Linked DNA regions of Caenorhabditis elegans. The protein of the gene in region 1 interacts with the protein of each later gene in a biochemical or structural test. Each region holds a gene or a part of one and is shown on either strand. Other genes may lie near its edges. The genes, in order: mek-2 and ksr-1.

The links.
Region 2: the proteins of mek-2 (region 1) and ksr-1 form a complex in vitro, tested with the Caenorhabditis elegans proteins (one study listed by BioGRID).

What each region holds. Positions count from the first base shown.
Region 1 is NC_003279.8:3,010,340-3,015,226, reverse strand, and holds the start of mek-2 (Dual specificity mitogen-activated protein kinase kinase mek-2), read left to right. Parts: upstream 1-1,778; 5' UTR 1,779-1,781; coding exon 1,782-1,868; intron 1,869-1,929; coding exon 1,930-2,109; intron 2,110-2,164; coding exon 2,165-2,383; intron 2,384-3,561; exon of another isoform or gene 3,562-3,619; coding exon of another isoform or gene 3,620-3,738; intron 3,739-3,798; coding exon of another isoform or gene 3,799-4,537; exon of another isoform or gene 4,538-4,543; intron 4,544-4,608; exon of another isoform or gene 4,609-4,734; intron 4,735-4,887. Other genes in the region: col-48 (Nematode cuticle collagen N-terminal domain-containing protein), read right to left, coding at 3,620-3,738, 3,799-4,537. UniProt on the Caenorhabditis elegans protein: Functions in the let-60 Ras signaling pathway; acts downstream of lin-45 raf kinase, but before the sur-1/mpk-1 gene product in controlling vulval cell differentiation. Required for progression of developing oocytes through the pachytene stage.
Region 2 is NC_003284.9:8,273,079-8,278,380, forward strand, and holds the start of ksr-1 (Kinase suppressor of Ras A), read left to right. Parts: upstream 1-2,090; 5' UTR 2,091-2,140; coding exon 2,141-2,246; intron 2,247-2,288; coding exon 2,289-2,359; intron 2,360-3,000; coding exon 3,001-3,177; intron 3,178-4,331; coding exon 4,332-4,422; intron 4,423-5,302. UniProt on the Caenorhabditis elegans protein: Serine/threonine-protein kinase which positively regulates Ras-mediated signaling probably acting at the level of let-60/ras or/and lin-45/raf. Involved in sex myoblast migration.

The DNA.
Region 1 (4,887 bases):
TGAAATAAATCGAATAAATCAGGCAGTATTGTTCTGAAATGAAAAATTTGCAGAAAAATGGTATTTTTCCATTTTTTTCATCAAAAGAAGCACCAATCGTGGAGAAAGTCCCTTCTTCTACGTAGAAATCCCCGTTTTCTATATAATTCCTCTCATCGAGACTTATATTATCCGATTAGCAGGTCAAAAATCCCCGTTTTTGGCACGGATCCACTGAAATCTCAATAAAAATCACATTTTCTCGAAGAAAAAAGCAACAAAAGAGCCGTCATCCCCCTCTCAAATTTCCTCTCCTCCTCAATTTCGATTAAATTTTTAATTATTTAGGCGCTTTTTCTGCTCTCTTTTTTCTTGCTCCAGCAGCGGCTCCCCGCATCTCTCATCGCCTTCTTCTCTTTTCTTCTCGCTTGACCGAGCTCTCGCAGTCCGGAAAAGCAGTCAATAAGCTAGAGAGCCGTGCTTTTTTTTCACCTGTTCTCAAAAATCGCCACTTCACGACAGGTTATATTCATCAATCAATTCATCACGTTTTTGCCTCGATTTCAGAGAAAACTAGTTGTTTCGGAAGAAATTAATCGCGAAATTTTTTTTATTTTCCCTTTTTTCAGACGGCTAAAATCACGTGGAAATTTATAATTGTATAGGTTTTCACTCAAATTGGCTCGAAATAGCTCGAAAAAATTCCAAAATGTGTATGGCGAATCAAAATTCGAAAAAAAAAAACCAAAATTTGCTAAAATCAGCGGCTAAAAATCCAGTTTTCATTGAATTATCTTCATTTTTTTAGAATTTTTGGCTTTTTGCCACCCAAAAATGGTCTCAAGCATTGAAAAAACACTGCGACAAGGAAAAGTTGACAAAATGTAGGATTTTAGCAATTTTTGCTTCAAAAACACGCCAAAAAACAGTTTTGGAATTTTTTAAAAATATGTAATTTTAGGTCATTCTGAGTATATTTAAGTGAAAACCCTCTTTAAAGGTGAAGTACCGAAATTCGAATCTTTGCTTTTTTAGACCCAAATTGGTCCAAAACTACCGAATTTCGTAATGAAACGTTTCGAAAATTTCTCAAAAAAAAGTTATGGCGGTTCAAAGTTCGGCAAATTAAGGCCCACAAAATTAAGGCCCAACGTCTGGAACCCAATTTTTATTTATTTATCACTTTTTAATAAATATTGCGGTCTTTTATTAGGCTTTTATTCGTTGTTTTAAGTACATTTATGGTCAGTGGGCACAAAATGTAACTTTTATTTGTGCCCCAAAGGCCAGAAATATGCTTAAAACAACGAATAAACGCCCAATCAAAGACCACAATATTTATTAAAAAGTGATGAATAAATAAAAATTAGGTTCCAGACGTTGCGACACCGAGAAGTTGGAAAAAATTTTGATTTTAGCTGAAAGTTGGCCTTATTTTGCCGAACTTTGGACCGTCATAACTTTTTTTTGAGAAATTTTCAGAATGTTTCATTACGAAATTCGGTAGTTTTGGACCAACTTGCGTCTAAAAAAACAAAGTCTCAAATTTCGGTACTCCACCTTTGATTTCTGAAAAAAAACTCTGCTTTCAGTTAAAATTACCAAAGAAACTAAATATTTTTAATATTTCCTGACTAATTTTTAGAAAATTAAATAGTTCTGAGTATTTTCTGAATTAGACTCCAAAAATCGCTAAATTTTCCCATTTTCCCCAGTTTTTCATAAGTTTTCTTGGAATTTTCCTCGTTTTTTTTCTAAAAAAAACCTCTCGATTAAAATAAAATCCAACTATTTTCCAGATAATGTCGAGCGGAAAACGGCGTAATCCGTTGGGACTCAGTCTACCACCGACAGTAAATGAACAAAGTGAAAGTGGCGAGGCGACGGCGGTAATAATTTAAAATTATTTTTAATTTTTAAATATTGAATTTAAAAAATATAAATTTCCAGGAAGAAGCCACCGCGACAGTCCCACTAGAAGAACAGCTGAAAAAGCTCGGGCTCACGGAGCCACAAACTCAACGGCTCAGCGAATTCTTGCAGGTCAAGGAGGGCATCAAGGAGTTGAGTGAGGATATGCTACAGACTGAAGGAGAACTTGGCCATGGAAATGGAGGAGTTGTTAATAAGGTTGGAATTTGCTGAAATAAGCTGGAATTTGGAAATAAAAAGTTCAATTTTTCAGTGTGTTCATCGAAAAACCGGTGTAATTATGGCTCGGAAGCTTGTACACCTCGAGATCAAGCCGTCAGTCCGACAACAGATCGTCAAAGAGCTCGCCGTACTTCACAAGTGCAATAGTCCATTCATTGTTGGATTCTACGGGGCTTTTGTGGACAATAACGATATATCAATTTGTATGGAGTATATGGATGGGCTTTCACTTGATATAGTTTTGAAAAAGGTAATAGTTTATTGGAAAATGTGCGGGTATGTTGGAAAATGATATGGTGGACAGTTCTCGCAGGATTCTCGGATTCGGCTTGTCCTTGTGATCCGCATTGTCGATCTGACCAAGCTTCTACTCGGAGTACCTGGCTCTGCCGATGGTCCGAATGATCCTTGTGATCCTGAAGCTCCGACCTTCTTCCCGGTACCTGGAATTCCGTCTTTCCAGAGGTTCCTGGCGGATCCTGTTCAGAAGATCGAACTCCGGCGTCTCAATTGCTTCCGTCTTGTCCTGGAGATCTGCTCTTTCCCGGATGTCCTGGTGGGCTTGCTGGAGCGTTTCCTTCTGGAAGAAGTTCTCCAGGCTCTCCTGTGGTCCAGAAGCTCACGGGCATTATGGCGGAATCGGGAGAGTTCAATCACGAAGCTCGTCCTGGTGATCCTGGATCACCTGATTCTCCGACTTTTCTATGGTTCCTGGCGGTCCCTGAGCTCGCTGGTGGGCAGTGCTCGCACAATCCTGGTATTCGGCTTGCCCTCCTCCTGGGAGAAGTGCTCCAGGCTCTGCCGATGGTCCGGATGATCCTTGTGATCCTGAAGCTCCGTCCTTCTTCCCAGCACCTGGAAGTCCGTCTTTCCAGAGGTTCCTGGCTGAACATATTCAGAAGATCGTCCAATAAAAAGCTCGTCATTCTGGATTTTTAAACGAAATCTTTGGCTCACCCTGCTCTCCAGCAACTCCGTACGTGGTGTCTGTCCGCTGTCCCATTACGGTTTGACCTACAAAAAATGCGGCAATTTTTTCCCCAAAAAATGTGACGTCAGCTGAAAATTCTTCGTCTCGACTCCCGCATTTTTTGTAGATCTCGGTAGATCAAACCAAAACGGGGCAGCCTGGCACCACGTGCTCCGACGTCTCAACTTCTTCCGTCTTGTCCTGGAGATCTGCCCTTTCCAGGATGCCGTGAGCCTCCTGTCCGTCTTGATGGCCTAGTTGGGTTTGCTGGAGTGTCTCCTTCTGGAAGAAGCACTCCAGGCTCTCCTGTGCTCCCCCAATACCTCCAACAGAAGCTCACGGTGCTCTCCTGGTTCTTGACCTAGTTCTCTTTCCAGAGGTTCCTGGCGATACCTGAGCTCACCGTGCTTCACAAGCCTCTTCACCCTTTTTTTTATTAAATGGACAACTACGACATATCGATTGAAAAAATAATATAGTTTATTCGAAAATGTACAGACAGACTCGCATAAGCTTCTAATATCCTGGAGCAAGACGTGCTGGTGGGCAGTGCTCGCACGATCCTGGAGATCCGGCGTCTCCTGGCGATCCTGGAGTTCCGGCTTGTCCTGGTGGTCCTGGTGGTCCGCGTTGTCCTGAAACAAATTTAACGTTTAGAAGAAGAAGAAGAAGCCTAGCTTATCATGATAATTTACCTGGCTCTCCAGCAACTCCGGCGTCTCCGTTGCTTCCGTCTTGTCCTGGAGATCCGGCCTTTCCTGGCTGTCCTGGTGCTCCTGGCCGTCCTGGTGGTCCGGATGGGCCTGGTGGAGCGTCTCCTCCTGGAAGAAGTGCTCCAGGCTCTCCTGGTGGTCCGCGTTGTCCAGGCTGTCCTGGTTGCCCAGGTGGTCCCGGTGGTCCGGATGGTCCTTGTGGTCCTGGAGCTCCATCCTCTCCGTTTCTTCCCGGGTTACCTGGAATTCCATCTTGTCCTGGTGGTCCTGGTGGTCCTCCAAGTCCTGGAGCAGCAGTGCATGGGCATTGTGGTGGAACCGGGAGAATTCGATCATGAAGCTCGGCATCAGGTCCTGGTGGTCCTGGCTCTCCTGGTCCTTGACCTGGTTCTCCGTCTTTTCCAGGAGTTCCTGGCTCTCCATCTGGTCCTGGTGGTCCCTGTTGGCATGTGCAGCATTGAGCATCAGCTTGACGTGTAGCTCTGAGCAGAACATCAAGTGGATCATCAGCACCTTCCGGTGCAACCTCGACCATCTCACGCCACATATCCCGAGATCGGGACTTGCAGTACTCAACCTCTCCTTGTACGGAAGCTTGAAGGGTCTGCACATAGTGGAATACCAATGGGAAAGCGATAAGCACAGCAGTCACTGCGACTGTGGAGAATGTGACGGCGACGAACGCCACACTTCGCAACGATCCCTTGCTCTTCTCGTCCATCTGAAATTCTATGAATTTTCTAGAATATTCGAACAAAGAATCAAAGGTGAAGAAGGGAAATGAAAAATGTCAGAAGTGTCAAAAGAATAAGAAGAAGAAGCCTACACAGTCATTTGCCGTTGCCCCCGAGTGCTTATATGCGGCCGCTGTGGTGGAACGAAACGGCAAGTCGCGCACTTCTGTGTGCGCTGCGTCTCATCGTTGCGCACGCAATTTCCGTGCGCCCCGCGCAGTGAACATCCCTTGCGTTTTTTTTTTCGATTTCCTCATCTTCTCCGCCCGTTGTTGTACATGACTGTTGATTATGATGACACATAAAGTATCAAGGTGTGGAAAAAGTAGGGGAAGGA
Region 2 (5,302 bases), on another chromosome or scaffold:
AAAAAATAAACAAGCTATGGGTTTCCAAATGTAAACAGACTGAGACAATACTAATAGAGAAAACAGGAGAATTTTAGTAAATGTCCATTCGAAAAACCGAAATTGGTTGCCTGTCAATGCACATCCAAATTCACGTCTTTTATCATAAAATTTGTAATAAAGGACTAAAATCAATGAATAGTGATAGTTCAACAAAAAATGTTTGTTGTCCGCTGCGACGCGTATAAATTTGTAAACTTTAAATTTTTCTGCTAAATACAATCGGTTTTCATTTTAAACAGCATTTTTTGAGAAGTCTCTTTTTAAAACACAGTCTAAACATTTTGGTCCATTAGTCGTCTTTTAAAACGTAATTGCTATTACTTCAGTACTTATATTTTACCCTAATTTTTGGCTAACTTTACCATAGTTTTTGGCACGTTCAACAAACTACCCATAATTACTTTCAAAATTTTCATCGAGCAGGAACAACATTTTTAATGTTGACTTTGCCGAGATGTTACACTAAATTAGTTGTGATCTGCCAGCAAACCAGGAACTAAAAGCTTGTTCAATGCATTCCTGGTATGAATCTTGACCTACTCTTAAGTTGATTACGCAACATTTTGAACACCTGTTGTGGTCTTCTCATTGCGGACCATTTTCTCTCACCCCATAGACATACAGTCTCCTCTCTCTCTTATTCATACACTATTCCCCCCATCCTCCCGTCTTCCCGACATTTTTGCGTCCTTTCCTACTATTCCTACTGTCAATCCACACCGTTCTCCCCTTTTCTCTTCATCACGTTCAAACAGTTTGTTTGCTTGCACGCCGATCTTTCTTCCTCTTTCTCTTTCCACAACTCTCAGCATTCTAGCATTATTTTCTCCAATATATTGAACAGTATTTGAATGCAACGTTTCTTTTAACTTCCGACCAAAGCCTTATGGCAATTTTTTCTCACAACTACTCTTTTCGGTCGGCATTGCTTAATTTTTAAGCGCCATACTGTTGTTCGGTATTTCATGTGAAAGCGAAAAATTAAAAAAGAAAGAAAAGTTAAGCTTCCTAATTTTTGTATTTGTGGTAGTTTTAATACGCAAAGCTAGGAAAATGTAAAACTCAAATTGATAAACTATAATTACTTAGGAGTGATGATAAAGGATAATCGATTTTTTAAGTGAAATAGTTGAATATTTCTACTCAATAAAAAAACACATTTAATATTGGTAGAGTACAATTATTGGATTTGGAACAGTATTCTAATTAAAGAAACAAAAGAAGCCAAAATAAAAGTAGAATGCCATTGAAAAAAATCGGGACATTGTGATGTAATAAGTCTAATCTAACCACCGGAAAAGAAAATGTGGTCGAAAATACCAATTCTTCTTTTCTTCTCGTCACTTCTAAATTGAGTAATGTACATAACCTGTCTCATAATTGTTCGCCACGCAACCTTCACAATTTCGATGGCAGAAAGCCGCCGAAAGCTTTTAATTTACTTTCCGGACGATTTCGACTTTTCTAGAAGGTTAATACACACCTTTTTTGAGTAGATGATGTTGTAATAGTAAACAAACTGTAAGCATACTTATATTGGTCATCGCAATTTGACTTTGAATTGTAAACATCCAATTGTGATGGAATTTGTAGGAAGAAAATATTGTAGATTTTACTAACTCATGAATTGAAATTTCTGACTGTACTGTGGGGCATACACATATTTTCTCTAATTGTCTTGCTCCCTTACAGTACGAATGCAAACCATACTAACAGAAAAAACTCGGCACTTTTCAATATTACTTGCTCGTTTGCTTTTCTAGTCATTTAACGCCTTTCTAAAGCACCAAATACATTCGTATTGCCCTGCTCCCACTACCACACATACATAAACGAAGGATGAGCTCACAGGGAGCCATTTGATAATTGCGACGACACACACACATACACAAAATGAGAAACCAAGCAAAAAAGAGTGTGGCGCACGTGTGAGCTCACAGCGTGCTCCGTTTGCACCGGGGATTTCCAAAAGTTGACCAAAAACCAGCACTGTTTTTTCTTGGCAACCTTTTGAACGTTGTGCTCAACCAACGAAAGATTTATTTCAGGGAAAAGATCCGGAGAAGGTAAAAACTAACCAATAATATCAATACACAGAATGATGCAAACCCAAGTTGCATCACGTGCGGGATACAGTAATCTACCGCAGTTTGGTGCAGGAATCGCACAGGATATAAAGACACAGGCTATAAATAATTTGAAGGGTTAGTAAAAAAAATTTAAAAAAAAACAATTCGAAGTTGCAGAATGTTTGAAACTTACCACTATCAATCGATTTTTGACTTCATCATACGAAGAAGATGCAAAAAGTGTAGAAGTAAGTTTTTTTGAAAAAAAAACAACTTTTGTAAAAATTCAAACTTCTCCTATTCGTGAGCATCGTTGTTTTATAAACTGTAAATAAATGAATTCAAGACAGACTAGTCTTCATTCAGCAGAAAAAATTTTTAAGATGCTTTAAAGTTTTGTTCATAAAATACACTATACATATATTGACACCTCAGTCCAAATTGTTTTAGATCTTTGTGGTAAACCAATCTGTGGTACTAAACGTTTTTCTAGACGTTTTCCGTTTATACTGTAAAGTTTATTTGTATAATTAAATTCTATAATGGTATTTTGATAATAAATTTAAAAAATTAAAAATTTAGATGCACAACTTCGTGCATGAAACGCTAATCGTTATATTTGAAAAACTGAAACTTACTTTCAAACAAATGTTGATTTTCAAATGTTTTAAATTTAGTGAGTTTATGATATTTTGAATATGAAAAAATATCAAAATATCAAAGCTTTTAAAAAATAGATTTAAAAACTTTAAGTGAATGTAACTCTTTTTTTCTACGAATTTTAGTAATCAAGATATCAGAGACAGATGAAAAGGTGAAACAACCTGAAACAAATGGTCTGAAATCTTTCATTGACGTCAACTAAATTCCAATGATTCTCAATTTACAGCGCAAAATATTCTCGGCCGTTTATCAAATGACAAAAATTGGTTTGATTGATCGCGAGAAGCGTGAGATCAACGCCATTTGGTTCACATTTGTCGGGCTCAGCGCACAAAACATTCGGCACTTGGAGATTTGCTCGATCACCGATTTCAATGCTCTGTTCAGCATCACTAACCAAGAGGTTTGATCCTTCTCTTTTTTGCTCTACCTTTTCTCTCTTTTCTCACACATCATTTCCTGATTTTACACCTAACAGAAACATACAAACACTCACAAATCGGGTTCTAGGCATATCTATATCCTTCTAAATGTCTTTCTGCTGATTCGGGTCACAACCTTCAACATTATCGTTTTATTCTTAAACTTCTTTTCATTTCCCTCTACGCTTCCCATTGGTTTGGGGTGTTTGGGAGTGCGCTTTGACGCTCTTTCCCTCTCGTTTTTCCGTTTCTGTTTCCGTCTCTTCTTTCTTTCTTTTCACCTTCTACTTTCTGCATTTCTCTCCTTTCCTTTCCCACTCTTCTCTTTCTCTAGAGGCCAGAAAACTGCAGCTCTCTCCGTTTTTTTCCTGATTTTTGTGAGCTAATTTGTTATCCAAAAAAAGAAGAGTAAACAGAAAAAGAGGATTAGGTTAATTGTTACCTATTGATATTCTGCTCATTGTTGTTTTTTAAGACTCACGAACTTTCTCTCAGCTAGCACATGCATAAGTCATGTATCTGACTGATTTTTATCATCTCATTTCGTAATTGTTTGAATTTGAGTTTCGACTTTTCATTTAGTCATTTTGCAGCAGGAAGTGTTTTTCGAAATGAAATTTGTCTTACTTTTATCTGACAAATCAACTAGTTTGGTAATTTTTCAGATTTAAAAATTTCCTTTTTTTCATTGAAGATTTTTTTAAAACTTGATTTGTCAAATTTTTTAAGATAACTTTACCATTTAATTTACAACAACATTGAACAAATCAATTGTTAAATTTGAATTCGAAACAAAACTTGAAAACTTCAAGTGGCCTTTCATATGATAATTGGCCAAAATATTAGAGTTGATTTTGAATGAATGTTTTTTGTGAGAACAACTATGCTGAAGCATTTCTGGAACATTCATTGTTTTTAGCGATCCAAAGCATACACGTTTTTGTTTTTTTGCATTGCCTCCGTATACTCGGTAACGTCATTCGTGTTCCAACAACACCTGTTACATTTCTACGAGTTGTTTTCACTCTTGTCTGCATGTTATCAAACTTCTATTGCTCGTTTCATTACTTTTAACCGAGTTTCTCTGTGCTCCGCCTTCTGAACATTTGAACCCAAACATAAAAGTTTATTTCAGTTGCGATCGCTTGCGGATCGTGGTCGTCTTGATGTGGAGACCAAACGAAAGTTGCTTCAATCTACAGTGATTTTACAAAATCACTGGAACGGTAAGTGTGCGGCAATTTGAAAATTTGTATTAAGTAAAATGTAGAAGAAAATAATTCTTGCCACGAAAATTTTGCAACTGTTATTTTTTGAAAATGTTCTCAAAATTCCTTACTTTTCTAGTTATTTTCATAAAAATTTATAGTCTCAAAACCAGTAATTTGACATTTTTTAATCAAACTTTAAAATTTAACTTTAATCAATCCCGAGATGGTAACTGCAAAATTAAAAAAAAACAAGACGGTTTTTATTAAAACAATTTTGAAGCATATTTTATACTGAGTTTGCTCCACTTCTTGAAAATTTAAATCACTGTCAAATGTTCAAACCCCATACATTTTAAAATTTGAATATTTTGAATGTAATTGAAATAAAAAATGGAAAATTTTATGATGGAGGACTTCCGCAAAAACTGGTGACCATTTAGTATTGAGCTTTTTGATTTTAAATAAAAAAAACTTTCCAAAGTTTTTGGAATAATTTTATTATGGTATATTTGATTATTTTTGTACCATAGGAATGGTTTTGAAAAACTTCCCCCGCAGATCGGAGTCCGCCTTCAAACGTCGTTTTCGGTTTATTTGTTAATTTTAGAATTAATACTTTAAGCAGCCTGAGAATTAAAAAATCAACCTTATTCTTTTATTCAAATTAAAATTTTTAAAATGTAGTGTAATGATACACATTGAACCAGCAAATTTGACATAGAAATACCGCACATCTTTCAAATGTTCTCTATGGTTCATCTACTTCGAAAAAATGTTGTGAAAATAATTTGTTCTTAGAATGAAACCTTTTCACAAAATGTTTATGGAATTGTTTTATTTTATTTAAAACATGTACAATTAATACAATTGATGTAATTTTGTCAGGAAAAGTGAA